4 linked regions of the Notamacropus eugenii genome follow. The protein of the gene in region 2 purifies or fractionates together with the protein of the main gene of each other region. This does not show direct contact. Links are inferred from orthologs where the notes say so. Each region holds a gene or a part of one and is shown on either strand. Other genes may lie near its edges.

The links.
Region 1: the proteins of BSG (region 2) and SYMPK purify together in Homo sapiens (co-immunoprecipitation; 3 studies listed by BioGRID and IntAct, counting the BioPlex papers as one, with this or other methods). This does not show direct contact. The link is inferred for Notamacropus eugenii from reciprocal best matches to the Homo sapiens genes BSG and SYMPK.
Region 3: the proteins of BSG (region 2) and ATP2B4 purify together in Homo sapiens (affinity purification with mass spectrometry; 3 studies listed by BioGRID and IntAct, counting the BioPlex papers as one, with this or other methods). This does not show direct contact. The link is inferred for Notamacropus eugenii from reciprocal best matches to the Homo sapiens genes BSG and ATP2B4.
Region 4: the proteins of BSG (region 2) and GNPAT purify together in Homo sapiens (affinity purification with mass spectrometry; 3 studies listed by BioGRID and IntAct, counting the BioPlex papers as one, with this or other methods). This does not show direct contact. The link is inferred for Notamacropus eugenii from reciprocal best matches to the Homo sapiens genes BSG and GNPAT.

What each region holds. Positions count from the first base shown.
Region 1 is NC_092876.1:27,829,244-27,837,353, reverse strand, and holds the start of SYMPK (symplekin), read left to right. Parts: upstream 1-4,644; 5' UTR 4,645-4,738; coding exon 4,739-4,750; intron 4,751-7,377; exon of another isoform or gene 7,378-7,396; intron 7,397-8,110. UniProt on the Homo sapiens protein: Scaffold protein that functions as a component of a multimolecular complex involved in histone mRNA 3'-end processing. Specific component of the tight junction (TJ) plaque, but might not be an exclusively junctional component. May have a house-keeping rule.
Region 2 is NC_092875.1:69,278,357-69,286,849, forward strand, and holds the start of BSG (basigin), read left to right. Parts: upstream 1-5,192; 5' UTR 5,193-5,309; coding exon 5,310-5,376; intron 5,377-8,493.
Region 3 is NC_092873.1:436,292,486-436,299,848, forward strand, and holds the start of ATP2B4 (plasma membrane calcium-transporting ATPase 4), read right to left. Parts: upstream 3,120-7,363; 5' UTR 2,455-3,119; intron 1-2,454. UniProt on the Homo sapiens protein: Calcium/calmodulin-regulated and magnesium-dependent enzyme that catalyzes the hydrolysis of ATP coupled with the transport of calcium out of the cell. By regulating sperm cell calcium homeostasis, may play a role in sperm motility.
Region 4 is NC_092873.1:386,515,303-386,522,773, reverse strand, and holds the start of GNPAT (dihydroxyacetone phosphate acyltransferase), read left to right. Parts: upstream 1-3,993; 5' UTR 3,994-4,273; coding exon 4,274-4,363; intron 4,364-4,926; coding exon of another isoform or gene 4,927-5,014; exon of another isoform or gene 5,015-5,346; coding exon of another isoform or gene 5,347-5,433; intron 5,434-7,471. Other genes in the region: FSAF1 (40S small subunit processome assembly factor 1), read right to left, coding at 4,927-5,014. UniProt on the Homo sapiens protein: Dihydroxyacetonephosphate acyltransferase catalyzing the first step in the biosynthesis of plasmalogens, a subset of phospholipids that differ from other glycerolipids by having an alkyl chain attached through a vinyl ether linkage at the sn-1 position of the glycerol backbone, and which unique physical properties have an impact on various aspects of cell signaling and membrane biology.

The sequences.
Region 1 (8,110 bases), on a different chromosome or scaffold from region 2:
GGAATCAGCAAGGCAAAGTATCTGATTAAATGTGGACAGTAAGAGTTGGGAAGTGGAGATTAATTTGATTCAATGAGTCTAGGGACTTTTAAGACAAGTCGAGGAACTATAAATATTCTCCACTCATACAGCCTCTGTCCCATTTCAGGCTTTCGATACCTCTTGCATAGATTATTGTAATGGCCTCCTAATTAGTCTCCCTGCCTCTAAACTTTTTCTTCTCTTTTGTTTCTCTTTCATCCTCCACACAGATGCCAAAATGATATTACTAAAACATAGGTCCGACCATGTAATTCTCAATCAGAAATCTTCAGTCGATCCCCGTTTGTTCTCCTCAGCCTGGCATTCATTGCCCTTCAAAATCTGTCTCCTACCTACCTTTGCAGTATTATTTCATATTATGTCCCTTCATTCATTCTCCTTTCCAGTCAATGGGCCACTAGCTGTTTCCCATATTTAAGTTAATATGGTTTATTGAAGATATAATTTTTCCACAGAAGACTCATTTAGTTGCATGGCAGAAATTTTTGTATGTTGTTTCATCATTAGCATTGCTTTTCTCATTATTCTTTCTGATTTCTTCTTTGACTCACCCATTCATTATCATGTCTCTAGTGAATTCCGTATCTATTGTTCATGATTCCCAAACTGATAATTATTTTTTATTGTGCTATGATCTGTAAAGGATGTGTTTACTATTTCTATCTTTTCCCATTTATTTACACTATTACACTTCCTTAATATAGTCAATTTTTGTACAAATTTCTTGTGGTGTTGAGATATATGGATTTTCTTTAGCCGTCACTTTCAGAAGATGCCATATCTTTCGGCTTTAATTTTTCTGGAAATTTGTTTAATTCTATAAATTTTTTTCATTTTTCTATGTAATATTTATCCAAATACCAGAGACTTTAAGGTCTCACCATTGCTGTGTTACTATCTAAATCTTCTTACAATTTAGTTAACTTTTCCTTTGTGAGGTTAGATGCTATACCATTTGCTACATGTCAGTTTAAAACTGAGGTTGGTTTGTTGTCTGTGGTTCCTATAGCATAATGTACCTTGCTTTTTTATCTCTATATATATTGTGGATTTTTGTTTTTCCTTTATCTGAGCAACTCCTTCTTTTTGGATTCACCAATTCATAGTAAACTTTGTTTCAGCCTCTACATATTCTGCATGTCTTTGCTTTAGACATGTTTCTTATGAACAACAGATTGCGGTGCTCTGTTATCCAATCTGTTACTCTTTCATTTTATTGGATTGTTTAGTCTGTCTACATTTAAAGTTATAAAAGATTTTCTGTTTTCTTCCATTTGTGTTTCTAGTATTTTTTTTTCCAAAATTAGATTTTTTTTTTTTGTCCCATACATCATATTCCATCTTCCACCTCCATACCTTTGCAAAAGCTGTCCTCTGTGACTGGAAATCCCATGTTTCCTTCAAGTCACAGTTCAGGGGCTACCTCCTACATAAGGTGCCTGATCTCTCTGGTTATCAACATTCTCTTCCTCTTGAAATGACTTTGTGTCTTTTACTTATTTGTATGTATATCACTCCTCTTTACCCCAAGTAGAACACAAACTACTTGAGAGAATCGTTTAACTTTTGTCACTGTGTCCCTGGTGCCTAGCACAGTAGGTGCTGACATAGTGGGTGCTTATAAATGTTGAATTACATGGAAAAACTGGGATAGGTACTCAGAGACAGAGATGAGGAAATTGGAGACAGATATATGACATCAGAGACAGAGATGTGGGCTTAGGGTCAGTGACGGGGCTCAGAACTCACAGACATGAGTTCATAGAACTAGAAATCCAGAGATAGGAAGGAGTTCTCAGACACAGAGACAGAAACAAGGGTTTGAAGACAAAGGAGGAAACTTGAGGATGGGGTGGAATCTTAGATATGGTGATGGGGGCAGAGAGATAGGAATTTCAGTGCCAGAAATTGGGAGTCTGCAGTAAGAGATTCAGAGATGGGGGTTGGGACTCAGAAACAGGGATATCACAGACAGCAATGGAAATTCAGAGACAGAGATGAAAGTCCAGATATGGGAATGGGGACTCTGAAGTGAGGATGGGGGTTCAGTTATGGAAACTAGTCCTTGGAAGCAAGGATGAGGATCAGAGTTGGGAGCATGAAGTCAGAGGCAGAGATGTCGAGTTCCTAGACAGGCACTGGAGCAGAGGTTGAGATGGGTTTGAGTCAAAATAATTTAAGACATGATCAGTAGTGGTCTGGTAAATTTCTGGATACAGCCTCAGAGGAAAGAATCAGGATCCAGGTATGGGAATAAAGGATCAGAGATGGGGATGGAGCTGAGAAAGTGACTCAGGCTCAGAAACTCAAAGGGAGACTTTCATATTGGCCTTATAATTAGTCTCTTCTAATGCATCCTCCATAGTGGTACAATCCTAAAGCACAGATTTGCCTAGGCTCCTCCTCTACTCAAGAATCTTCCATGGCTCTCTCTTACTTCTAAGAAAGCAAAACACACTCCTTAGCTCAGCACATTCACAATCTAACTGCAACCCACCTTTCCAGATATTTTTTCACATTACTCCATTCCAGTTACAATCACCTAGCTCTTTCCCCTCTCACTTCTGGGGTCTTTGCTCAGAGTATGCCATGTTCCTGGTGCACTGTGTGCCATGCCTAGAATACACTACCTCTGCACCTACATAAATTCCTAAGTTACTGACTCTAGGCAAGTCACTTCACCTCTGATTGTCTCACCTGTAAAATAAGAATAACAAAAGCACTTTCCTTGCAAGATTGTTGGGAGACTCAAATATTTGTAAAGTACATAGCAGAGTGCCGGGCATACAGTAGTTGCTGAATAAATGATTATTCCCCTTCCCTTCTCCCTTCAAGGCTCAGCTGCTAGGTGGCCTCCTACAGAATGCTTTTCTTGGCTCCTCCTTCCCAAAGTTTGCCCTCCCACCATCCTCAAAGAATATTTTGGGGTCTGGGCTAGTGACTTCCTCTAGGCAGAGAACTCCTGGTCCTTAATACAGAATGACTCACCTGTAAATTTTATTCTTGTATTTCCTGGGCACCGACTGGTTAAGCACTTGCCTTTAGTGATGAGGCTAGTATATATGTCAGAGACTGGAACCTCAGTATTCCTGATTGCAAAGGTGGGGGTGCCATCCCTCATCTCCCTCCAAACACATAATCATGGGAAATAGCTGAGCTTCCCAAAGCCCCTTTTCTCTCATTTGATCCTTCTAGCCTCCCTTTGGTATAGGTCCCATTTTACAGATGAGGAAACTCAAGATGAGAGGTTAGGGGACTTGTCAAAGGTCACCCCACCAGGAAGCGTGTGAGGAGGGACGTGGACCCACACCTTCCCAATGTCCCCTGGTGGTCTCTCTTAGAATGGAAGCTTCTGGAGGGCAGAGACCGTCATTCTCTCTGTATCTACGTGGGGCTGGTGAGTTAGGGGGTGTGAAGACTTCCCCAAGGCAATGAGTGGATGGGCACCATCCGTTCCAAGGCCATGAAGTCCAGCTCCTGAAGCAGGGGCTGGAAGGCCCCGAGGTCATGCACGGCCTCCCCAGCTTTCCCCAGTCCTGGGGACTCTTGACTCCCTGCGCTTCGCTGACTCTGGAGGAGGGAGGGGAGCCCCTCACTGGGGGCAGCCGGGCCTCGCTGGCCAGCCCAGACCAGAGACGTGCATACGGAGAGCATGGGACCCGGAGTGGGGAAGGCTTGGGTTCAGATTCAGCCACAGACCCGCACCAGCCCCCCGAACCCTAGCAAACCATGTCTCCTCGGGCTGCCTCAGTTTCTTCCACTGTAAAACGGGGCTAAGAGCACAACGCCTCACTGCACTTAGCACAGAGCCCGCGGGCACACAGCAGGCACTTGGTAAAGCTCGCTCCCTCCCCTCCCCCTCCCCCGCAGGAAGCAGCCTGGTACCCAGGTCCTGGATTCCAACACTGCGTCTGCTGCCTGCTCCCTGCAACACCTCCTCTGTATCACCAGGAGGCGCTGGAGCAGCTGGGTCTCAGGGCTTCCCCCGCTCCCAGCACCCGTGTTCACAGAACTTGGGGGCGGGGAGAGATAAAACAGAAAATCACTGGGGGTGGCAGGAACAGCAGAGGCTGGCCAGCAGGTGGTGGCCTCCAGCGAGTGCTCTCCTGGAAGGGGGGACCCCGGGCCATGGACAAGGCCTAAGCAGGGCGTCTGGCGCTCGTGACTCGGAGGGGGCTGGAGCGCGCAGGGAAGGGGTCTCCAGCGGCCCTGGGGGGTCATCCGGCTGGACGCAGCGCCCCGGCCTGTGCAGGACCCGCGACAGCGTCCCGCCTCGCAGCCCGGCCCAGGCCCGGAAGACTCCACTCCCTTCCGCCTCCCATTCCGCTCCACGCTGCTCTCTGCGACCACGAGGAGAGCAGGAGCGCCACCCCCCGGATCTCTCCCTCCCCGGCGCCCTCCTTCCGGAGAACCCACGGAGCGCGGAGAACTCCAATTCCCACAATCCTCAGAGACGCCTCCGGGGCTCCGCGGTGCAATGGCTCTGTTTTCGTAGAGTCTCCTTCCGGCCTTGGGGCATCGGGGCGAGTCTCCCTGGGCGGGGAGGCTACTCTGGACTCCATTTCCCGGCGTCCCTAGCCCTCTCACTGCCTCTGCTTCCTCCTTGGGGGCGCGCACCCTTCCGAAAACTCCATTTCCCGGCGGGCCTCGCAGAGGCCACGCTTGCGCAGAAGGGGCATCGGCAGTCGGCCCGAAGATGGCGACGGCTGTGAGGAGGAGACGCTGCCGAGGGCGGCGTGAGGGGGAAGGAGGAAGAGAGAGGGAAAAGAGGACAGGGGGCGACGAGGGAGAATAGAAGAGGATGGGAGGAGGGCGGCCTCCGCAGGACTCGGACCCCCAGGGGAAAGGAAACCATGATGGGGTGGGGGCAGGGGCGCAGAACCTTGTGGAGGAGCTGCTCATTGGGAAGAGGGGAGCAATGGGCGAGACCATCGTGCGTAGGGGGAGACAGGGACAGTACACTGCGAGGTTGGGGTAGTATGTGTGCGTGGGCACTCTGAGGAGGCTAGAACCCTGGGCAGGTAGAAACAACTAGAGAGAGGGGCGCGATGGGCGAGACCATCGTGCGCGGGGGGGGGGGGGGGCCGGAACGTGAGTGAGCCCCGAAGAGGGACCGTGGAGGTGGAGCCTTTCATGGGGACAGAACATGGGGAAGGGGGCAAGGAAGAGGGGTGTATGAACCCTGAAGACAGATCATGGGGGTGGGGGAGAACCCCAGGGTGAGGGAGGCCACTGGGGAGAATGGGGGGGGGGAAGAACCCTGGGGAGGTAGAGACCATGGAGGAGAATGGGGAGAGAGGAGAACCTTGGGAAGGTAGAGACCATTGGGAAAAATTGGGGGGGAGAACCTTGGGGAGGTAGAGACCATTGGGGATAATGGGGGGGAAGAAGAGAACCTTGGGGTGGTAGAGACCATTGGGGAAAATTGAGGGGGGAAGAGAATCTTACAGAGGTAAAGACCATGGAGTAGAATGGGGGGAGAGGAGAACCTTGGGAAGGTAGAGACCATTGGGGAAAATTGGGGGGGAGACTTTGGGGAGGTAGAGACCATTGGGCAGAATGGGGGGGAAGAGAAACCTAGGGAGGTAAAGACCATGGAGGAGAATGGGGGGGAGAACCCTAGGGAGTAGAGAGAAGGGGAGGGGAGAAGAGACCTCTGAGGAGGTAGAAACCACTGGGGAGAATAGGGGGAGCAGGGAGGATGAGGAGCAAGTGTGAATCTTGAGACTGTTACAGAGGCTTGGGGGCCAGAAAGGAAACCCTGGACTGGTAGAGACCATTAGGCAGAAAACTTTGGGCAGAGTAGGAGGAGGATGGGAGAGAGGGTGAGTGGGGATAGCTCTGGGGCTGCAGGTGCTGCTGGGGAGGTTGATGGGACACATTGGGATTGAGGACGGAGGGAGATGGAGGGAGGAACTGTTTAGCTTGTTGGACTGTCCTAGAGCCCAGTGGAGGAGGAGCGTTGTGGGGGTAACCGGTGGGGTGGGGTGTAGGGAATTTAAGGACTGGGAAAGAAATGGTGAGGTGCTGGGGCAAGGAGCATTAGAGACCCTTGTGGGAGGAGGGAAACTATCCTGGAAGGGGAAAGGGAAGGACATTTTTGTAGCTATCAGTGGGGAGGGCAAGAGAGCACATTTTGTCTGACTCTTTGTAGTGTGACCTTGGGCAAGTCACTTAATCTCCCTCAGCCTTACTTTTATCATTTATGAACCGGGGATCATAGTGCCCATAGCACCTACCTCACAGGGTTGTTGGGAGGACCAAATGAGAAAATGTAGGTGAAGCGCTTTCACACGCTTTAGATGTCAGCTGTTACTAGATTTGGGAAGGAGGGAGACACTAGTGGAAGGAAGGAGAAGAGAGAGCATTGGAAGGGGAGAAGGGAGGAGAGAGCATTGGAAGGGGAGAAGGGAGGAGAGAACATTGGAGGGGGAGAAGGGAGGAGAGAACATTGGAGGGGGAGGGGGGGAGAGATGAAGAATAAGGAAGTCTCATGGATGGGCCTAGATTGCATTCTCAAGGGGAGGAGATATCTTGACTGAGGGAGGTGGGAGGAACCTCTTGTGAAATGGGGGGGGAAGGGTGGGGGGGGTGAACTAAATTCAGTCAGCAGCTGTTCAGTGCCCACTGTTAGGGATCACAAAGATGAACAAAAGCCTGTTCTAAAGGGAACTTAGTGTGATAAGCGACAAGCAGGTCAATAGCAACTAAGTGTTTAAGAGAGGACAGGGTGATCTCAGAGGTCCCTTTTCAGTTCTCTCACATTCTGTAAGACCTTCGAGTACTATATAAACGTGAGCAGCTGTTATTCTGAGGGACCTTAGGTCTCTGGAGTGGAGGTTCTGAGGGTTCTTCCAGTTTGGAGGGCCAGAGGACAGGCGAGGCTGGTCTTGCCTAGCAGACTGTTCTCATGGATAGGAGAAGGGCTGGGATGGAGCTGTCTGCTGTTCCCAAAACTGTGGAGGAGGGGAACAAGTGAGATCATCCATTTTATCTCAAGGCCCTGGCTTGGCCATGGACCTTCGATTTATCCTCTGAATCCCAGGGGACTGAGAGGTTCCCCCAGAAGCCCAAAGTAGAAAAGTTGAGGCAGTTCCAGACTGAGCTCATAGGGGAGATCTCAAGGAACTAGACCCCTGGGCCTCAGTCAGGCAGCCCATTCTGGAAACTTCGATGAGGACATATATTCCTAGATTCATGTAATCCCTGGAATTATCTGGTCCAGCTCTTACAAGAGACATCATAGAATAGTGGGAAGCGTCCTGGATTTGGGATCTGAGTGCTTGGTTTGAATCCTGGCTCAAGCACTTAGTGCTTGGTACAGAGGAAAATCCGAGTTCAAATTTAGCCTCAGGTATCTTCCTAACTGTGACCCTAGGCAAGTCACTTTACCTCTGTTTTGCCTCAGTTTCTTCACCTGTAAAATGGGAGTGATAACAGCACCCACCCCCCCCATGAGAATCAGATGAGACATTTATGCAAAGTTCTTCGGCACATAGCAAGTTCTACAGAGGCTTTTCTTGTCCCTGCCCTGGACCTCTCCCTTGTCCCAGGATGTTTCCATCTTACCCCTCCCAGGACAGCTGACCTCAGGATAGGACAACCAGGATTCACATACTAAGACTGACTCTAGTCGGTCCCATGATTTCTCAGTGCCCTGTGGCACTCTAAAAGAGGAGTTGCCAAGAAAATGCTGCCCTGCGAACATTGACAGACTTTCCCCATGGGGGTTCCCTCTTTCCATCCCCTGCAGTACTCTATTCTTCCTTATGTTGAGCTAAATTCAGCCTCTGCAGCTTTCATCTGCCTGGGTCTTCATATTAGGCCCTTGCTGGAAGGGCTTAAACATTGAGAGAAGTGTGAGGGTGTTGGAGTGTAAAGTCCGGGGACTTTGGGAGGCTAGTGAAGATCTGGCTTGGGGCTGCTGTGGGCTCCTCTGGAATTCACTGAAGGCAGCCCCAGAGCATTCTGCATGGAGTCCTAAGCTTCCATAGTTAATGTCAACCTTCTTGGTTGGATATGTTCATGGGGTCATAGATTTAGAGCTGGGAGGGACTTTAGAGGCCAT
Region 2 (8,493 bases):
AAATTCAATTGGAAGGCCATCATGTTTAACTTGGAGACCAAAAAATTCAACTATTCAACTTGGAAATCCTCTAGTTCAACACTCAGAGCCAGGATTTAAACCCAAATCCTACACCTAAAGCTAGATGACATAAAGTCTGAATCCTAGCTTTGCCACTTACTGTCTTTGATGCTGTGCAAGTCATTCCCCTTCTCTGAGCTTTAGTTTCCTCATCTATAAAATGGGGCTTGAGAGGCAGATTAGCAGAGTGGACAGAATGCTGGGCTCTCATTCAGGAAGATCTGGGTTCAGCTTCTGACTGGCACATGCTAGCTGTGTTACGCTGGGCGAGTCTTAGTTTCTCAGTGTCCCTAAGCAATTCTTTAGCTATTTAGAGAATTTAAAGAGAAGTAAAGGAATGGAATTCTTTCTCTACATTAAAGAAATCACAAATTTGAACCAAAAAAAATTAAATAAACAAGAGTTATAATCTCTGCCAATTACTCCTATCAAGACAGTTGTGAAGGGAGCCTTCTGTTAACTCCAAAGTGCATGAAACATGAAAGTCCCAGCAGTCCCTCCCATTCCTCTAACGATGTCCATACATTCCCCTTACTTCTCTTTGCTGTTTCCATTTCCTGTGTAAGCTCTGAGGATCCTTATCCCAATTCCCCCTCTCACTGAAAGGTTTCCCCAAAACATGGCTACCTGTTCCTCCTCAGGGCTCTAGGGGTATCCAATTCCAAATCCTCTGACATTCTGAAGTTCCCCAGCTCCTTCCTTGGTGAGGGAGGAGGGAGAGAAGGAGAGAAGAAAGACTACTTTTCTTCCCCACCCCTACTAGTTTCTCCAAGTAATTCTTTCTCTGAGGTAACTATTCTCTTTTCTAATCTGTCAGGCACTTGAATACTAGGTTCTTAATTGGCTTGTTATTTTTATAGAAAACCCAAAGAACCTGACCAAGTTTCTTCAGTACGTCACAACACATTTCATGTTCCATCTAGCTGAACTGCATCGATAAATTGATTGATCGAATGGTTCGTATTTTTGGTTGATTTGATTGAGAAATCTGGTGAGCTCTCACCCTAGTATGTATACTAGGCCATCAGAGGAAACAATTAGCTCTAAATGAAACTGTTGTTTTGAATCCGTCTCTTACAGAGGCTATAGAAACTGTTACTGCCTTTTTAAGAGCATAAGAAGTTAAATGGAACTCTGACAGTATGGTTTTTTGCGGGAGGGGGGGGGGAGGGGGGGGCGGGGACCATGGATTGAAAAAGTCAATTCAGATGTGAAGTACCTCTCCTTAGAGTCAGGAAGAAAGTGCTGAGTGTTTGGTTTGGTTTGGTTTGTGTGTGCAATCCATATGGATCTATGAAATATCAGCTGAGAGAGGTCTGACTGTGTATTTTTTTTCCCTATGGAGTTAGGGAGGTAGTGGGTGTTTCATCGGTGATCCACAACGATCTAGAAAGGAAGGAGGAAGGGAATTAGCATTTACTTAGTGCCTACTATATCTCATCTGATACTCACTGCCACCCTAGGAGGTAAATGCTAATAAAATTATCCTCACTTTACAGTTGAAGAAATTGAGGCAGACAAAAGTTAAGGCTAGAAAGAGATGTTGGGGCCAGGCTGTGAAAGGCTTTATAAACTAACTAAACAGGGAAGTTTACATTTTATCCTAGGGGCAATAGGAAGCCACTGGAATTGATTGAGTAGGAGAGTCACAAGGTCAGATCTGCCCATCTGGAAAATTACTTTAGCAGCAGTTCAGGGGACGGACTGAAATGGAGAAAAACCTGAGTCAGGGAGACCAATTCCGAGGCTGTCATAATAATCTAGGTTGAAGGGGATGAGTGCATGATGTAAGGTAACAGCCTGGCACTGACTGAATATGTGGGGTGAGGGAGAGGGAGGTGTCCGGCATGATGCTGAGGTCACCCACTTGGGAGACTAGAAGGACATCTGTGTTTTTGACAGAAATAGGGAAGTTTAGAAGAGGGGGGAGGGTTTCAGGGAGAGATAATGAGTTCAGTTTTGGACACATTGGGTCAGAAAAGTCTCCTGAATATTCAGTTTGCAGCTGGAGATGCTGAACTGGAGAAGTCAAAGGAAAAAACTCATATCAGGACAGTATGTGAGTCATCTCTGTAGAGGTGATAGTTAAACCCATGGGAGTTGATGAGTTACCAAGAGAAAAATTACAAAGGGAAGAAAGAAGAGCCTGTGATGGAACCCTGGGGAACCCCAATCATTGAGAAGCTTGATCTGAATAAAGATTCAGCATAGGAGCCTGAGAAGGTTGGCCAAACAGGTAGGAGGAGAACCAGGAAGACATAATGTAATGAAAACTTAGGTGAGAGTAATCAGGAGAGGGTAGTCTACGGTGTCAAATGAGTAAGGAGGATGATAGGTGATGAGAAAACTCCATTAGATTTGGCAAATATGAAATTATTAGTGAAGTCAGAAAGGAGAGTCTCAGTTAAGTGATGAGGTATGAAATCAAACTCCCAAGGGTTGAGGAAGGGAGAAGAGGTAGTGTAGACACATCTTTCTAGAGTTTGGCTGAAAAAGTGAGGAGAGATGTAGCTGGTAGCTTGAGAATATGGTAAGGTCTAGTGAGAATTTTTTAAGGATGGCAGAAATTTGAATACATTTGAAGACAGTAAGGAAGAAATAAACAGATAGGAAAAGGTTAAAAATTTGAGAGGGGGGGAGAAGGACTGAAAATGCATCCTGCTGGAGAAGACAGGAGGGGACAGGGTCAAGTGCATATTTAGAGGGGTTGACCTTGTCAAGGAGAAAGACTACCTCTTTGTCTATTTCATTAAATAACAAACAGGGCAGCTAAGTGGTGCAGTGGATAAAGCAGGAGTCAGGAGGACCTGAGTTCAAATCTCACCTCAGATACTTGACATTCACTAGCTGTATGACCTTGGGCAAGTCACTTAACCCCAAATTGCCTCATCCTGGGTCATCTCCAGTCATCCTGATGAATATCTGGTCACTGAATTCAAATGATTCTGGAGGAGAAGTGAGACTGGTGACTTGCACAGCCCTCCCTCACTCAAAACAAAGTCAAGTGCAAATCATGTCATTATTTCTCCGATGGCATGGTCTTCTTCTGCAACAAAGGATAAATGCAAATAACAAACATTTTAGTTATTTAATTTTTTATTTAACTTATTTAATTTCATTTCAGAAACATAGGAGATGATGTCAACAGGTTTTGAGAGGAAGAGAATGGGAGAAGAGAGAACTCATGTTAAATGGCCTTAATTTTCTCAATAAATTAAGAGGCCAGAGTCTTAGTTTTGAGGTTGAAGAGCAGAAGGAGATCTGGGAGGATTGAGGAAGGAGGAGATTGGTTCTGTCGTTAATGAGAGAGGGAATCAATTAGAGAGGAATGAAAAGATTGCCTTGTTTCAGAGAAGGCTCTGTTGAGATTGCAGGACATGAATTAATATTGTGCCCTGTCAGCACAGTTTTGAGACTTCTTGCAATTCATTTAGCAGCTTTGGAAGAAGAAAGGAAAGAGAAGGAGAAGGAAGAGAAGGAAGAGAAGGAAGAAGGGGAGGAAAGAAGATGAGGTTTGGCAAGGGAGGACCAGGAACAGAACTAGGAGATGAAGGATATTCAGATCCTGCCTCAGACACTTACTAGCTGTGTGATCCTGGGCAAGTCACCTAATCCTGACTGCCTCAAAAAAAAACCAACCCTAAAACAGAGAACTGTGTAGAGGTGAAATGTCTAATTGTTAAGTTGAGAATGGAGAAGGAGAAAAGTATTCATGATGGAGGATATAGAAGTCTTGATGAAGTTCAAGAACAGTTGAAGCAGAGGGAGATAGGAAGAAAGGGGGATTCATGAACAGTCAAGCAAAGGAGAGAAGATTTATTAGCAGGGTAACCATGAGGAAACACACAACCTCTCTGGGTCTCAGTTTCTTCATCTTTTTGTTAACTCTACTCAGTTTCCAAGCACTTGTTCTACTCATGATTGCCTGTGTAAAAAGCAGTGGCTTGTTTCATTTTTTAAGTTATTTGATTTAGTTTCAGAAACAGTGGTATGACTGACAACATCTGTAAACAGAGGGACAAAATGATCATCTTGCAGATTTTTCTCTGGAGAAAAAGAAAGTCCGTTAGCTTTGCTTTGTCTAGCAAAAGATTTCCTCTAGGCTGATGTTGCACCTGAAGAGCACACAGGTGACCCTGGACTTGCCTTGCTGATGCCAGGCTAAAAGAGGAGAGAACAGATGCCAATTCAGTTCGAGCCAACAATCATTAAGGGCTCCCTGTGGATCATCTTGGATATATGAGGGTTGTGTATGTGTTCCTCCTTCGCTTTCGAAGACCATGACATCAGGGAAATGATGACTTGACTTGCACTTGACTTTGTTTTGAGCGAGGGAGGGTGGATCCATGAGGGACTCGCTAGCTCAATGAACCTATGAGCTCTGCCACGCAGGGATACCCAGGACGGAGAGGTCATAGCGGAGAGTTTTGGCAATGGCAATCCACTCCTGTAGCTTTTCCAAGAAAACCCCAAGGAGAGGACCAGACAGGGGTGCTGTGGTCCACGCTGTCACGACTGAACAACAAACGGAAAGACAGGACGCCGAGCTGCGTGTAAACAAAGACTGAGCCATGGGTGAGTGTGGTGCAGAGATAGGGCAGGATTTGGAGACGAGAGTCCTGGGTTCGAATGCTGACCTTGCCACTCACTAGCTCTCTGACCTTGGGCTACTCATTCACCCACGCCACGCCTCAGTTCCTTCGTTTGCAAAATAAGGGACTTGAGCTAGATGACCTCTAAATTCTTCTTTAGATCTCTGATTCAGAGGTGAGATCTGAAGGGCTTTAGAAACGAAAGGAAGGTGAAATAAGTGGAGGGTAGCTCAGTTTACTTTGCGGGAGGCCCTAAGCGTGCACAAGCTCACATCTTCTGACCTACAAAGAGCACTCCTCCCGGCCCCGCCCGTGGGCGGGCCCTTCGTCACTTCCCTCTCTCCCTTTCCCACAGGCCCCGCCCAGTCTTCGGAGTCGCGGGCCTACTGGAAGGTGATTGGTTGTTAGAGGCCCGCGGGGAGGGGGAATGCAGGGGTGGGGACGGGGCTACGGGCGCGAGCCCGACGGCGTTCGCGTACCCGGGCTGCGCCTCTCCTTTTCTTCCGTCACCGCGTTGTGCGCGTGCGCTCCCGAGCCTCTCTTCCGCGGGCTCTTATAGCGGCGGCCGGAGCCCTACGCGGATCCAGTGACCGAGCGAGCTACCGAGCCAAGGCGCGGGTCGGCCGCTCGAAGACTTCGGGACCGCGACGCCGCGACATGGGGGCCCCGCTGCTGTGGCTGCTGGCGGCAGTGCTGCTGTGCGCTCGGGCCGCCTCCGGAACCGGTGAGTGGGGCTGGGGCCGCTGGAGGCCCCCGCGGCCCGGGCCCGGGGACCGTTGGGGGTGAGGGGACCCAGGGTGTGCCCGGGGTGGAGGGGTGAGCCATGCGGGCTGAGGAAATGAGGCTCTGGGGGCCCCGCGGGAGGGACACAGGCTGGAGGATTGAAGTTCAAAGGATTGGGGGGGTCGCGGGTTAGGGGCCTCTGAGGTTCAAGGGGTCCCGACGGGAGAGGGGTGCAGACTGGGGGCCTGGGGTCCAAGGGGTCCTGGAGGGGGAGGGGTGCAGACTGGGGGCCTGGGGTCCAAGGGGTCCTGGAGGGGGAGGGGTGCAGACTGGGGGCCTGGAGTTATAGGAGTCCTGGAGGGGGAGGGGTGCAGACTGGGGGCCTGGGGTCCAAGGGGTCCTGGAGGGGGAGGGGTGCAGACTGGGGGCCTGGGGTTCAAGGGGTCCTGGAGGGGGAGGGGTGCAGACTGGGGGCCTGGGGTTCAAAGGGTCCCGGGAAGGGTAGTAGAGGAGCGCAAAAACTAGAGACTTGAGACCCCGAACGCTCGGGAGTGAAGGGCCCCCAACTTGGGGACAGGTAGGGGGAGATGAAGCCTCAAGGTTGAAACGCTGGAGGGGACCTGGTGGGGGAGCTATGACTGAGAAGAGTTGGGGTCCTGGGGGGTCAGGAGGGGGCCTTGTATGGGGGAGGCATGTGAGGCGGGAAGGGTCAGGGACCTCGGGGGGAGCAGCCTCGTGGGGGTCTCGGAGGGGAGAAGGGAAGGATTCTGCCTGGCGCCTGGCTGGTGGGGGTGGAGATGGAAATGAAGTGTGACCCTGTGTCTAGAGGAATGGGGGCGGGGCTTTGGGCCTGCGGAGATGGGGCCTCCCCCGGGTGGGGGACTTTGGGGTTTAGGTAAGGTTGGGGAAACTGTGTTTGAGGACCGAGGCTCCAGGCTCTTAGGGAAGGATGTCTGACTCACAGCCCGTTTAGCAACTCGAGTCTCTGTCACTCCAGGGCTCTTTATATTTTCAACCCCCACAAATGGGGTCTGTTTGTACTCAATTTAGGCCAGAGCTATCTAGCCTTCATGTGACATAGGGTGGGAAATGTTTATGTAAAGGAAGATATCTTTTCCTCCTCTGTTTAGTTCTGGATTAAAGCAATTACAGGCAATAAAAATTTTAGCTACAACGGTTTTGTGGGCTTGATGTTCTGAATTCTGGTGAGAAATTCAGCTTGACTGCCATTTACTGGGGGAAGAGTTTTGCGAAAGGTGAAATAGACTTCATTGTAAGGAATTTTTCCCCCTCTGAAAAGACATAATTTATTTTGTTATGAATGATGGCTAATAATAGGATATATGTGTTGTGCACCCACATGGAAGAGAGAGAAGATTTGGAGTACAGCTATGACCCTTGAGGGTTTTTTCATGAAGTCCTTTTTGGACAACAACTATAAACTGCAAGTATTACTGTCCCTATTTTACAGATGAAGAAAATGTTCCCAAGATGGGGAGCAGTTTGCTCAAGGTCATAGCTAGTAAATGTTGGAACTGGAAAATTTCTGCCTTCCATTTAAATGTTCTTACCATAACACTATACTGAAATTTCTGTATCTCTAGCTATTTTCATTTTAATATTCTCATTATTACTGTGTTTCTGATTTTTTCCCCACTCTGCTCCTTTTCTCTTTTTCATAATTAAAAACTATTTCAATGCTCCCTGCACTAGACACTTGTGAAGAAAGACGAGATCAACAAAAACGTTGAACCTTTATTCCCCTTTATATTGTAGCCCTGGGAAGAAAGAAAAGCTAGAAGAAAAGAAAAAATAGAAGTTTTGCTCTTGTACTGAATTAATTCACTTTTAACTTGTCTTTAGGTCATGCTATTTTTGCCACATGGGTTTGTCTTCAATTAAATTTTATTTTTTCATTTATCAAGCATTTATTCTCCCCTCCCCCATTTCTTCAAGAAAAAGTTTTTATAACCTTGTAACAAGTGAACATAGTCAAGTGAAACAAATTATCCATACTGTCCAGATTTTAAAAATGTGTCTTATTCTGCATATTAGTCCGTCCCATCTCTCTGTCAGGAGGTGGGTAACATTCTTCATGATTGGTTCTCTGGAGTCATGGTAAATCACTGTCTTGAATAGAGTTCTTAAATCTTTCAAAATTGTCTCATGTATAATAATGATGTTATATAGTATAAATTGTTCTCCTAGTTCTTCCCACTTCACTCTACATCACTTCATATGAGTCTTTGAAGGTTTTTCCAAAACTATCTCTTCATTTCTTACAGCCCAGCAGTGTGCCATTATGTGAACATAATAATTTATTCAGCCATTCCCCAGTTGGTGGCCACTCCTGAATTTCCAGCTTTTTGCCACTACCAAAAACTGCTGTAAATATTTCCTATTTCTTTAGTTTCTTTAAATGACTCATTTTGTGCCATAGACAAGTTTGGTTGCATACTCAGGAAAAAGCAAAATAATTATTATTCCATTAGGATATTTTTCTCCCTGTGATTTGGTTCATCTGCTTTCTATTCTTCTCCTCACCTAAGGGAAAATTGACATTTAGTCCACTTAATTTGGGGGGAGAGAGGAAGGAGAGCTGTTCTCTTGCTGTAGTCAGATTGCTTGAATCAGTTTGATTTTTCTTGTAGTAGTTGAGATACCAAAGAAGAAGATTTCTTGACCCAGATTATACATCTTGGCTTTGTTTGTTCGTTTCTTGCCCTAATCTTGGAATGTAGCCAACTCCTAGTTTTCTTTAGGTGAATTATCTGCCTTATCTACAAAGAACTATAGAGTAAAAACCTAGAGGGGATCTTAGATGTCATTTTTGTCCAAACAGACCCCCTTGCTGGCTATTCTCGTGGCTTTAGTTGCCAGGTTCTTCCACATGGTTTCACATCTCTCATTCCTTTCTGCCATGGGAGCTCCAGAATGGGGTTGCTAATAAAGGTTATTTTTAAAGCTTTCTTTATCCTCATATCTGTCTCCCTTACTATAGTAGTAGTGGATTATCTAGGAAGGAGCCCAGTATTGTATCTGAAAGCTGCAGGGTGTGTGCTACGGGGCAGCTGAAGATGTAGAGGTTGTCCTGTCCTCCCCACCTGTTGTGGGATGT
Region 3 (7,363 bases), on a different chromosome or scaffold from region 2:
TTCTTTTTGTCTTGAAAATGAATAAAAGGGCACTGGCACAACTTGGGCAAATAAGTTGCCCGGTGAGTATTTCTCAAATAAAGGAAGACTCTAATCAGACATCATCTTTCCCTTCCTTAGAATCTTAGAATGAAGGGCAGGAAGGAAAATGGTTTGGGGCATAAGTTCAAGAGAGGGAAACAGAATACAGAACCTATACACAGGAGGCCCTAAATGAATGTATTTTCAATGAAAAAACCCAGATCTCCATTATTGTTTTCTCTGGCATCTAACTGGTATAATTTAAGATGGAGTAATGAGTCCACAAAAATGAGCAAACAACATAGATGGATATATCATTACAGAATGTGATGTGTGCTGAGGACATAAAGAGATGCTCAAAGCCCTATTAGCACAGTCTAGAGTGGAGGGAGAATTCTATTGGGAAGGAACCAGCAAGGGCTGCAGGAGAGGGTAGTCAAACCACTTCATTTCCTTCCCCTCAGTTCCCTCATCTGTAAAAGGTTGGAACCTTAGGGATTAGCCAGGCTACCACCTCACTTTGTAGGGATGAGGACAGTGAGCCCGAGGAGTTTAGGGCCCAAGGAGATGGTGGATCCAGGTTTCAGACCTGGGTTACAGAGCTCTGTGGCAGACATAACCCACAGTTTAAGAAGCACTGAAGGGGTCATGAGTGAAAAAAGTTTAAGAAGCTCCGGACTATGTATAATGTTCTGGCCTAGAGAAATGCCCTAGGAAAACCCCTCTTGTGCTCCACAGCCTTTAGTCCCCAAACGCAGTGCCACATTGCCTCCATCACTGTTGTGCAAACAGAAAACTTGGCTGCCCCTAGGGAGATCCGCGCCATGCGGCTGGCCTACAGCCTGTTCTTGCAACTGTGTTCCACATGCTATCACTTAACTTGGCTTGTCTCTCCAGTCACCCCAGCCACACCCAGTGCCTTTGCCTCAGTGGGCCAGATAGGTCAGCCCTTGCATAAGCAGGGCTCCTGGCCACTCCAGGAGGGACTCAGCTGGTAGCAAGCCCAGGCCAGGCCCCTCCTCTACTATCTAGTCCCTCCACCAGCTCAATCCCCTTCTCCACTCCTCTAACCACACCCTAAGCCCCAGGGTGGGGGTGGGGGTGGTGGGAGTGGAGAAAGAGCTGAGTTCTGACCTGCAAATCCCCACCCACAGCCTCCAGCCCAAGGAGGAGCCAGAGGGAGGGAAGAGACTTCATCCCACGGAGGCCTGCCACAGCTGTACAGTAGACCCAAATCAGCTAGATCTGGCCTGGCTGTCCCATAGGAATAGGAGATAACCACTGCCCCGGGCTCAGCTGAGGCTAGCGACACTGACACCCAACCAAGTCATTTTTCTCCTTCCCCTGTGCCTCACAGAATCACACCTGGAGAACTCCTGACCTCTGCCCCAGGAGGGCCCCTATTTAATCCTCTCTAAGCCTGTCATCACCAGAGGCAAGATTCCCCAAACCTAGTGCTTTCGCCCCTTCCTCTCTGGCTTGGGAGCCATGTGTGGATTCAGATTCCATCTCTAACACTTGTGTGTGTGTTTGTCATTCTTTGCTGAAGAAGATCATATCATCAGAGAAATGATGACATGACGTGCACTTGACTTTGTTTTGAGTGAGAGAGGGCTGTGCAGGTCACCTGCCTCACTTCTCCTCCAGAGCCATCTGAATCCAGCGACCAGATGACTGGAGATGACCTAGGATGAGGCAATTGGGGTTAAGTGACTTGCCCAAGGTCACACAGCTAGTGAGTGTGAAGTGTCTGAGGTGAGATATGAACTCAGGTCCTCCTGACTCCTGCACTGCTCTATCCACTGCACCATGTAGCTGCCCCTTCTCTAACACTTACATCCAGCCTTAGTCACTTATTAGATCCAGTGCTGATGTGAGAAGGCAGGGCAGTCTGGGTATTTCAAGGCATTGTGGTAATGGACATTCTGCTCTGTTACACACACACACACACACACACACACACACACACACACACACACACACACACACACACACACACCCAAATAGGGTCACAAAGAGTCAGAAATGACTGAAAACAACTAACCAACAAAGAAAAACAACATATATCACTATGGGTTGGGGAGAGAGTCTTATCTAAAATATGATGAAAAGTGTTTAATAACATAATGCTGCCCCTTCCCCTCTCAAGGTCTCAGTTTCCTCATTTGGGAAAGGAAGGGTTTGGAATAAATGACTCTGAAGGTCTCTTCCAGTTCTATCTCTGATTATCAAGAGTTAAACCGATGGGGACACTGAAGCTGAGAACTACAGTTCACAGGTGGGGATGATGGTTGAGGTTCTGAGATGCCCAGTCTCAATCCGACTCCTCCCCACCCTGCCCCAATTCTTCAACTGCATCCTCTCCTGCTTAAGACATTTCAACAGCTTTGAATTGAAGGTATAATAATGAATAAGAATACCTTACATACTTACAGTGGATTTATCATTTTCAAAGCACTTTCTTACAGATGATCTGATTTGAGCCTCACAATGAATTTGTGAGGTAGGCTGGGCAGATAGTATCCTTATTTGACAAATTAAGAAACTGAGATTCAGAAATGAAGTAAATTGCCCAAGGTCACAAAGCAGAATGAGCAATACAGCTGAAGTCCTTTGGCTTTTTTTTCCAGGGCATTCTGACTTCCAGAAAGGGTAGAATGGGAAAAAACACTGGGTTTGGAACTGAATGAGAATTCTTCCTTTGTGACAACTCTGTGGGTCTCAGATTCTTCACCTGTAAAATGAGGGAGCTGGACTGAGTGACTAGCCATTGGCCTGCTCTAGTCCTTTTATCTAAGATCTTTCATTAGTCATGGGAAAATTGTCTTATATTTGTGGGCATCAGTTTTCTCAGTTACGATATGGGGGAGAAACCTTCATAGCATACTGTTGTGGTTTGTCCTTCATTCTCAAAGAGGACCATGACATCAGGGAGATGATAACATGACTTGCATTGAATTGGATTTGAGGGAGGGCAGGCTGGGCAAAGTCACCAGCCTTACTTTCTTCTCCAGAGCCATCTGGGTCCAGTGGCCAGATATCCAATCAGGATGACCTGAGATGGCCCAGCTTAGCATGCTGAATTCAGAGTGAAGGACCTGGGTTGGAACCTCTGGTTCAGCAACTATGAGGTAGAATTTGAACTCAGACCTTCTATTACTTACTACCTACCAGTGTGATCCCTAGGTTAGTCATTTCATTTCTCTGGGCTTCAATTTTTTCCTCTGGAAAAACCAGGGGGTTAAAGAACACTAGGTGATCTCTAAAGTTACTTCCAGCTCTAACTTTTTTTTTATCATAAGCATTCTTCTTTCCTCCACAAGGATGTATTAATAACAATTTTTTTTTTGTTTTTCTGTTGTTGTCCAGTTGTTTTCAGTTGTGTCCGACTCTTCATGACACCATTTTGTGGTTTTTGTGGCAGAGATACTGGAGTGGTTTGCATTTCCTTCTCCAGTTCAATTGATAGAAGAGAAAACTGAGACAAATAGAGTTAAGTGACTTACCCAGGGTGACACAGCTAGTAAGTGTCTGAGACCAGATTTGAACTCAGAAAGATGGGTCTTCCTGACTCCAGGTCTGGCGCTCTATGCCCAGTGCTGCCACTAATAGTACAAACTATTTAGTGCTTTTAAGGAACACAAAGCACTTTGCATATACTAACTCATTTTATGCTGGGAGGGAGGTAGTAGTATTATCTTGGCTTTATAGATAAGGAAACTGAGGCACATAACCTGAGGCTGGTTAAAAGACTTAGCCAAGTTCACCCAACTAGGAAGTATAAGAGGCAGGTTTGAACTCAGGTCTTTCTTGAAGATAATAAAATGGAGATGGGAAAATGTCATGTAAACTCCAGCTGAGCTGATGGACACTAACACTCTAGAGAATGAGTCAAGGTTTGCAGGGGTAAAGATTCCATTTAACCAGCACTTTTTAAAACCTCCATTGAGCTCATTACAATCTACAAAGCCTTTTCACAACCTTTATCTCATGTGATCCTCACCACAACCTTTGGAAGGAGGTGGTCACAGGTATTATTATCCTCATTTTACAGATGAGGCCCAGAGAGTTGAAATGTTTCACTCAAGGTCTGATATATGGTAAGGATTAAACATGAACTAGAACCCAGGTTTTTTGACCCTTAGTCTAGTGCTTCTTCTCTCTTAATCAGTGAATCAACCAATCAACAAGCATTTATTAAGTGCTTACTATGTGCCAGGTAATTTCAATCACTGCGGGACCCAAAGAGAGGAAAAAACAAGCCCTGCTTAGAAGAAGCTGACCTTCTAATGGGAGAGAGGATATGTAAATAATCCAGAACATACAAGATATATAACAGAGCTGGTGGAAGTTCATCTCAAAGAGGAAGGTTCTGGAAGCTGGTAGAATGAATAAGACCTCCTGCAGAAGACTGTCTTGGAGCTAAGTCTTGAAAGATACAAGAGATTCTAAGAGGTAGAAGTGAGGATGAGTATTTCAGGAAGGGATGCCATAGTTGGAAATGTTTGGGTTCATATATGAATAATGAACATTTTACTCTAAAAAGGAAACTTTTAAAGTATTTGCCTCAATCACATTTGTCCTCTCGAGATTCTCAAGGAAAATGGAGGTAGAGGATGTAGAAAGAATATTGAGATTGAAGGCAGAAGGTCTTTATTCTAATACTACCACTGTCACTTTTCAAGTGTGATCTTGGGAAAGTAAATTTCAAATCTCACTACCTTTCCTAACTGGAGAATGGGAATTATACTTCTTACTCTGTAATCTCCTTACAAAGTTGTTGACAGGAAATCATTTTGTAAAAAAACATAACACAAGCTATGAATTATAATCTGTAAAATGAGATCATAAACACAATTACTGACAAACATAAAGAATATAAGCTCCCAATGGTTTTTAAAAACATTCGTTATTTTTTAAAAAATTTGATTGGTAGAACAAAATGTCCCCTTAAAAAGGCTGACTACTAAAAGGGTCTCCCATCTTTATGTTAAGCTCACGTAAGACTCCTTAGTAGATGTAACCACAGAGATAGTTTTATTCAACAGTCATCTGAGTATCCATAGGGAGCCAGGGACACAACAGGGAGGTGATTGCTCACTGAGGTATTTGTCACTTTCATGGAAGACAAGGATAGGAGGTCCTGGGTAGAATCCAAATGAAAAAATAATTCTCTAAAGATGGTAAATTTGGCCATATAATGAGAAGATGGAACCCATTGGAAAACACCCTGGTGTTGGGAAAGAATGAAAGCAAAAGGAAAAGGGGATGGCAGAAGATAAGATGGATGGATAGTGTCACGGAAACAACAAACGTGAACTTGGACAGACTTCAAGAGATAGCAGAGGAGAGAACAACTTGGTATGCTATGGTCCATGGGGTGACTGAGGAGTAAGACACAACTGCATGACTGAACAACAAAAAAGATGGTGAGTTCTTCCTGGCATTATTGGAAGACAATGTACTGAGAACCTCAAGTTCCAGAATAGGGCAAGGCTTCTTCCATGAGATCCATAACCACTAAAGTCTAACAATCTATAAGGAAAAAAACATTTAGATGAAGAGTGTCTATTGTCAAGTCAGCAAGTATTTATTGAGCACCTACAGTATGCCAGGCACTATGTTAAGCACTGGAGATATAAAGAAAGACCAAAAAAATGATCGCTGGCCTCAAGGAGCTCACAGTCTTAATAGAAGAGACAACATTCAAACAGCTACATTCAAGTAAGATATACAGATATGTATGTATAGATAGATTTAGATATCCACATACCTATATCTTGATAGATACATATATATGCCTTCCCTCTGAGATTATTTCCAATTTCTTCTGTATAGATATAAATATATAGCTATCCATATCTATTTATCTGCCTACCTACCTACCTATCTACCTACCTATCTATCTATCTATCTATCTATCTATCTATCTATCTATCTATCTATCTATCTATCTACCTATCTATCTATCTGTCTATTTATCTATCCATCCATCCATCCATCCATCCATCCATCCATCCATCCATCCATCCATCTATCCATCTATAGGATAAATTAGAGATACTCTCAGAAGGAAAGCCTTAACATTAAGATAGATCAGGAAAATCTTCCTGTAGATGGTGGGATTTTTTGCTGAGACTTGAAGGAAACCAGGGAAGCCAGAAGGCAGAGGTGAGAAGGGAGAGCATCATGTGTATGGGACACAGTCCATGAAAATGCCCAGACTTGAGAGATGGAGTGTCTTGTGAGAGGAACAGTAAGGAAATTGTCCTGATTATGACACACTGCTGGGAAGTTCACTGATTTAAACTATCACTACACATATTCTGGACAGGTTCTGCAAGTGGACAATGAGCCAGGGTCCAAATCGAACATGTGGGAGGGAAATGGCCAACAGCATTGGGGAAATCAGTTTTGATGAACCCAAATTATATCCTTATGTGTAAGCTCATTAAAAAAAAAACCACATTACTATCCTTCCAACTCTCTTTCTTCCACAAAGGGCTTAAAGGTCAACCATGCTGAGATGGAGTTGGGGTGCTATATGATTGTGAATCATATACTCTACAGTCTCAGGAGAGTCACAGTTGTGCATGGCACAAAGGGCAATGGGGAGATAGAGGATGGAAGCTGACTCCAGTTTATTACCAAAGATGACTTTTGTGTGATAAGTAGCATGGAAGACACCAACCAAAAAAACATTGTGCCCAAAAAAGGACGTAGATTGGTCATGTAGTAAAAGCAGAGAAGAGATGGACAGAGTCCCATTGGTACCCATGTAATATTATCAGTCATGTAGCGAAAGCAAAAGATAACAGATGGACAGACTGAGGGCTACACTGGTCCCCAGGTGATGTTATTAGTCATGTAGTGAAAGCCAAAGATAACAGATGGACAGATTGAATGCCACACCAGTACCTTTAATGTGAAAAGACCTAGGGGAGATCTCTAGTAAACTGAGTGAAATCTTTATAAAGGCTTTATGGAGACAAGAGCAGAACATGATTCGATGGCTTATATGGACTTCTATGGAAAGTGTCCCCATTAGTGAGATCATATAGTAAAATGAGAGCTTTCTACAAAGAATTCACAAACCTTCACTGTTTTTAAAATTAATATTATTCCCATGTGACAGTAGGGAAAGCATGTGCACAGAATAGCCAAGGGACCTCCCCAGGGTCACACAGCATGATTATGTCAGTAACAGGATAAAGCTAAGGACATGCCCTAGCCTTTCATATTATAACAGAGTATCTATTAGCATTCCTAAGACAAGTCTGTATCTGTCTCCTGGCATTCTGCTGTCCTCTAGATGATGACCTTTTTTTGCCTCTGAAAGACT
Region 4 (7,471 bases), on a different chromosome or scaffold from region 2:
CCCAGAGTATACAGAGTTCAGAAGTAACAGAAAGTCTGAAGTCAAGAAGATAGAAGGATAAACTAACAAAAAAAATCCATAATGACTTATTATGGTGATAAGAAATTTCAAAACACAAACCCAAAAGAAAAAAGATGACTCAAAAACATCTATAAACAAAGCCTCGGAGAAAAATACATTTTGAACAAAGGTCCAACAAGAATTCCTACAAGCTTTTTAAATTTTAAAAAACACCTAAAAGTGATTTTAAAGGAAAAGTTAAATGAATTATATGTAGAAATAAACAGTAAAACCATAATAGTGAGGGACCTTAATTTACCCCCTCTCAGACTTAGATAAGTCTAATTTAAAACAAAAACAAAACCAAAAAGAAATAAAGGACCAGAATAGAATTTTAGAAAAATTAGGTTACTAGACTCCTGGAAAATACTGAATGGCAAAAGAAAGGAGTATATCTATTTCTCAGCAGTATATGGCACTATTATTTTTAAAAATGAGTATATATTTGGGCATAAAAACCTTACAAAGGTATAAATGAAGAAATATTCCATGCATCTTTTACTGATCAAAATGTTCTAGAGCTTTAAACAGAATTTATATTGTCCTGCAAGGTATGACTTCCTGAGAGTGTTACCACTTGCTGTGGTGAATACTGAAGCAGAGGAGTAGTATTTTATTTTAATTAGGGACCATATATATATATATATATATATATATATATATATATATATATATATATATATATATATAAGTGTATATTATATATTATATATTATATTATATATATAAATTACATATATATTTTAAATCTTCTCAGTAAAGACATTTTTATTGGTTTTTTTTGATCCATGAATATCTTATAACACTGCATTCCTAAGCGTGAATCGATACTTATCTGAGTTAGTTGTGGTCTAGAACAACCTTCGGTGATCACTGCTTCCTTTTCTAGACATTAACCAATTATCCCTTTAATAATATGTTCCATTTGGGCTGTGTAACCTGTGATATTTGCATAACCTTTCCAGAACCCAGGCAATTTTCTAAGTCTGTAAATTGGAGAAGAGTTACTGATCATCTGCCTTGGGGGAGGAAGTTTCCTCATAGGAGCTCTCTCTACCTTGAAATCACAAGTCTAAAAAAAGAAAAAAAAAAATATGTTCTATACGTCAAGCTCCCCGGCTTACAGTTTTTAGAATTGATTTTCTTCCCTTAGTTAGAGGTCAGGACAACATTTGCCCTTCCCCAGACCTCTACATTCTCAAGGATCTTTGAAAGAACATTTGACTCAACAATTATATCTAACAGGAATATTAAAATGAAGATTTAGTTCATGTGGGCCTGGTAGCATGAACTCATCGTCTAAGGCTACTACTTTTCCTATTCAACTCCCTGTTAGCCATTTTCTGTTCTTTCCAGTCCCAAGATCATTTTCCCTAGCAGAAAAAAAAAACTAGAAACAACGTAAGGCCTTCCTTTAATATACATCATCACTAGCTTTGATTAGCATGGAAGAGGCCACATATAATCTGGTTGCAATGGGTCAAGTTTATCTAACACTGAAGGCTTATAAATTAACCCGCACTAGCCATTATTTCATTTAATTTCCCACAACAAGTCTGTAAAGAAGTTGCTATCATTATCTCCATTTTACATAGGAGGAAACAGATTCAGAGAGGTCAAGTCACTTGCTCAGGGTCATATACATTGTTTGAGGCAGAATTTGAGGTCTTCTTGACTCCAAGCACCTTATTTATTATGTACTCTGCTTCTTACAGGCAAATATATAATTATACATATATAATATATAAAAACAGTGATGCAAAATTTTGTGCATATTTTTGTACAGTCATTTTTCAATCATGTCCGACTCTCTGTGACCCCATTTGGAGTTTTCTTGGCAAAGACACTGGAATGATTTGCCATTTCCTTCTCTAGCTCATTTTACAAATGTGAAAGTTGAGGTAAACAGTTAAGTGACTTGTCCAGGGTCACACAGCTAGTAAGTATCTGAGTTCAGATTTGAACTGAAGAAAATGAGTCTTCCTGAATCCAGAAAAGGTACACTAAACCTAGGTGCCCCACAAATATATTTATGACTAAACCAATCAACATGTGAAAACATGTTGAAACGTGAAAACAAAAGGACAAGAATAACCTCTTCCAAAATAAATCTGTTGTTTTGTTTTGGTAGCTGCACTTTCTCAGACAGCTTCCAAAATGGGAGGGTAGTGGCATTTACTTCTTGTCAGGAGTGGTGTTATGGTATGGTGTTTGGAGTTGGTACAGACTAAGTATTTCATCATGTTGATAGTTTTTATAAACTAGTTTGGTCCTTCCACAATGTTTCTTCTTGGAGTTATATCTGATCTTTATCTTGGAGTTGCACCTGCCTGTCTTCCTGCAACTCCATTAAAGAATGAAATAATTTTGCTTCTGCTTCTTTGCAAGAAACCTCGTGATCCTGAAATGGACGTGGTGGGCATGGTAAGGAGGTCATTCCTATGCCTTCACCACCATGTTAGGATAAGCCAAAAAAAAGCGTTATTCTTTCAGGACCATATCACACTCTAGTATTCATTCTCTGTTACCTATCTTTGCTTTCATCTTCTGTATATGTCTATTAAAACATCTTGCTTATTGCCCACACTTTGTGCATTTGAAGACCTGAAGCTATGAGCTTTCTTTCTGACATTTTCCTGAGTTTTGTTTTCTGTAAATTTCTGGTCTTTTCCACTTCTGAGACTTCATTGTACATCTTCTCTTATAGGCAACTTTCTAACTCTCCCTTTTCATTTTAAAGTGTTTTTGGTCATATTTCTAAAACTCCAAGAAATACATTTCTACTTGTTTTTGTTAGGTGTTCATTCATCCCTCTGGGCCTGTCATTTCTCTATTTTAAGCCTTGATCCAGAAATCCAGATACCATTGTGAGACACCATTGCCTCACTTTTCTGCTTGCATGGCGGACTAAAAGCTGACAGTAATATCAGAAAATGGTTCTTTTTGTTCAAAAACCTTTTTTGCATTATGAGATTTATTATAATTATATTATAATATGTATACTATAATCTCACTCCTGATCTTCTGCATGCAAAAATTTAACAACTAAACTAAACCTGAGGCACTGGTAAAAACACTTTAACGTCCTATTTTCCCAAATTACAATCATGTTCTTGGTTTAACCTGAGCAAATCTGTTAGTCCCCCAAGGGCCTCCCTCTTCCCTACCTCATAATCAGAAGCTTCTTCTGATTTGTGGGCCTCTAGATTTACCTAGTACTCATGCATTTAAAACACCCAGTTCCCTGATTGTTTAGCACTCCCACTACTGCCTAACTCTCCAAATACTTGCTGAGTGATAGTTCCCACCCCATGTTTGCATATTTTGTAATGTACAGTATTACAGGCATTTATAATATTATAATACATAGTTTTCTCTATTAGACTTTGACCTTCTTAAAATTCTTCAACCTCCAGTCTTCTGCTTCATTTGTAACTGCCCTCTCCCTCCTTCCCCCAAATCCCCAGGACAGAGTGCTCTCCTTGTAACAGGTCCTCAATAAATACTATTGACTTTTTACATAATTACAACACACACATATGTATAATACATATATATATACACAATCATATATACACATATAGACACTCATTCATACACACACACACACACACACACACACAGTAGCCTAATAGCCTGGTCTACCCAGTCTCAAAACAAAACTATTTTCAAAAGAAAAGAGCATTTCCAACATTTTAACCAGTTTTGAAAATGTGCTTGCATCTACACACAAAAAAGGATTGCTGTGAATGAGTACCGTCCGCGGTACGCACAAGAGGGTTTTCCCCTCCCTCGATCTCCCCCTCCCTCCCTCCTAACCATCATTGGCTAAAGAAGGGTGGTGCTACCTTCCCTGAAGTGCCAGGTACAAAATTATATTCCAACCATTTAATAACATGCCCACTGCGATTGCGGAAGACCTTCCGCAGTTTATCTTGGCTAGGAACTTAAGAGGCAGTGACAAGTCGAGCTTAGGAAGCTCTTAGTCTGCTCTGTCCCAGCTCTCCAGCGCTCCTGGGAAGCTCCGGGTCCGGACACCGCAGGCTTCTCAGCCCTGCGCTCGCTCCAGCACGACAAAGAGCTACTCTTTCTCCTGGGCACCGGAGCTGAATCAGACAGGGCTACAGACGGTGAAGACGAGAGACAGTCAGGTAACCCGGGCCAAGCAGGTTTTCAAAGGTCCTTTTTTTTTGTTGGAGCGGCAGAGGAAGGTATGGAGAAGACTGTGACCTTGGCAACTGTATCCCCAAGTTCCCCGCTGCCCACAGCGTCTAAGGGACAGCAGCAATGGCACACAGAACAGGTTGGTTCCAGCTCAATGGGTCAACAGAAGTGGAAGGACGCTGGGTTGGGGGAGGCTCTTTCCAGGGAGAACTAGAACTCACCACTTCTCAATCAGGGAGTGGGGAAGGAAGGGTGGCGGAGGTCAGGTGGTGCTGGAGGAAGGAGAAGTAAAAGCCACTACTACCCAGTGTGCTGGGCAGTGGATGGGGTGATGCGCAGGGAGCTGTTCTGGGAAAAGTAAACCCCACGACTACCCAGTGGGAGGATGGGGTGACAGCAGGGGGCCGGCCTCCCGTTTCTAGGTCAGTTCGTGGGAAAGTACATCAAGCACCCGGCAGGTGTGAAACAGCCCACGCCCCCGGCCTCGCCCGGGGATACAGAGGCTCCGGCAGGTGGGGAAGGGTCACTGGGTGTCCTCTAAAGCACTCCTGCCGGGGCCCAGCTCTACACGTAGGACTGGAAGGAGCTGCCCCTGGCGGAAAGGAGCCAGTGCCGCACGCCCTAAGAAAGTACACCAGTAAAACACCCCGCCGCGCCCCTCCAGCAACCCACGTGGGTGCCGGCCCAGCTCCTCGCTCTCACCGAAGTCGTAGAGGTTGTGCAACAATGTATCCAGGAGAGTCTCAGCGCTGGAACAGTCATCCGGTCCCGGCTTGTCCTCCGCGGCCATTACGGGGTGTACGGCGAGGGGAGAAAAAGGGAAGGGGGGTGTCAAACAAGTACCTTTCACAGCTACGACCCAAAGCTTTTGGTCCTGAGCAATTAATAATGAGACCCCGCCGACTTCCGCGTTTCCGGGGCCGGGCCTGGGCTCGCGCTTTGGCTCATCGCGGCTTCCGTCCGGGCCAAGATGGCGGCGCCCGGGGCCTCTAAGAGCGTCTGCCGCGGGTGCCGCCGCCCCAGGCGAGGTCGGGCCGCCGAGCGCGGGTCAGCCGCTGTCAGCGCCACCCTTCCCGCTTAGCTGGCAAGCCCCGGTGTGTCCCGGAGGGCTGCAGCGGGACCATGGCAGCGGCTCGATCATCCGAATGCTTTGTCGCCGTCGCTTCCACCTCTACCTCCACGGTCGCCACCCCAGCACCCCTCTATTCGGTAGGCTCCGGGGCCGGGGCGAGGAGTCGGGCCGGCCGAGAGCCGCTGGGCTCTGCTTCCCTGTCCCAGCCCGGACCGGGTCGGAGTCGAGGTGGGGGAGGGGGTCCTGGTTTCCTAGGCGACAGAGCTGGGGAGGGAGTGGTCACGGACCAACCCCCAGGGTCTCGGTGCCTGCTCTTCCTCCCGCTCCTGGCCGACTACTCTCCACGCTTCCAGGGCGTGGGGAAGGGAGTGACCCCGACCCGGAGAAAGCACTTTCTCACTTTCCTCGGAACGGGGCGGCGTGGCTCGGGGGCGTGGGACGAGGGAGGGCCGTCGTGTGGCAGCCCCGGGGTGTTAGTGGTGTGCGTCCCACCCGGGGAAAAGAAAGCGCGCCCCCTGCCCTTCGGATCTGCCCCGGAGCTGTAGCCACCCAGCCCTTCGCCACGCGTGTTTATTTTCCTGGAAGACATTCTCTCCAGCCGACAAATCGTCGGGTTTAGGTGGGGTTGGAATTCGGGGGATTTATCTGGCTTTGAGCTTGACTGTACTCTAGAAGGACTTAGAAATCTGTAGAAATTTTGATCTCCGCTTTCTGCCTTCTGACACTTTGTAGTGCTGGACAGGAACAGCTGACGTCACTGAGCTTTTTTTTTTAATATCCCCTTGTCTGTCAGTTACTCATTTCTTCCCTCCCCCATCCCCTCCCAGCCTGGTTTATCAGAATTGTCTGCTTCAGCGCTTCCCTTCCAGCAGTGTTGATCTCAAAATTTACTTGAAGAAGTCAAGAGGTAGAAGCAGTCTTGTCTTCCAGATTGCATAATCATGCGATTAGAAGCATGTTGAAACCGCCGGGCTTTTTTTTTTTTTTTTTGACCAGTGTTTTAATTTTTAACCACTTCTGGAGGAAACAAAAAATTCTTTTAAGGAGCATGTGAATACTACTCGTTGACTTAGAAATTCATTTAAAAGTACAAAAAAGAAAACACGTGTAGGCAGTATCAAAAAAAATTTTTTTTCAAATGAGACTTTTCGTCTAATATTGGAGCATCCATATAACATCCATTGCATTGGGTGTATTCTTAGATTTGTACCTTTTTTAAAAAATTAATTTGTTTCCAGTTTTCAACAGTCGCTTCCATAAGTATTAAATTTTCTCTCCCTCCCTCCCTGAGACGGCATGCAATCTTACATGGGTTCTTTGTAGCTTTTAATATATGAAAAAATAAGGAAGGAAAATTATTAGGTACGTCCTTTTCAGCATCTGCAATCTAAGTAAGACTTAGGTTCATACCTGGCAGCAAGTGCCATCTAGTCAGCTTCTGAGGTATGTCATACTTCCCTTTTCTTTATTTCTTATTGGCCTATTCTCTGACTCTTGATTTATACTCGAAATATTACAACTCCACTCTTCCAATAGGCTTAACTCCTTGAATACCTTCTCTACTAATTCTTTCCCCCCTTCATTTATATCTTTTTGTCCCCATCTGGGTTTCTTTAGTCCAAAAACAGTCATCCATATCTATGAAGGAACAAAGGACTCCTGGTAGGTAAGACTCTGTTCAGGTCTGCTTTTTCTACCATTTTCTGTTGTAGCTGTCTGAACTGCATAAATGTTCAGTTCTTTAAATTTTCTCTGTACCTTCTCATTTAAATGCTAAGATTTGTTCAAAAGACTTTTTTTGTGTAAAAGAATGACAGCTACAACTCTTGTTTTCCTTTGTTAGTTCTTTGCAATTTCACCTATTTTCTTGTCAACTTCAAGCTCTCCTAATTTTTCAAATTTCATCAGGAAATGATTGCTTTAGGAGAGTCATTTATGTATAATAAATATATGCAGATACACGTGTGTGATGCTTTTTGTTGATTTAATTAAAAAAATATTGAACACCTACTATGTGATGAATTAGGTATTATCCAGTTAAAAAAAGAAATATGACCCATCCTCCCATCTAAGGATGTATAAATTAAGTTGGAAGATTGTATTTATACTTAAAATTATTAGCAACACTATGTAATCAAGTGGTAGATTCACAAAGGAGTTCAAAGAATCAGAGAA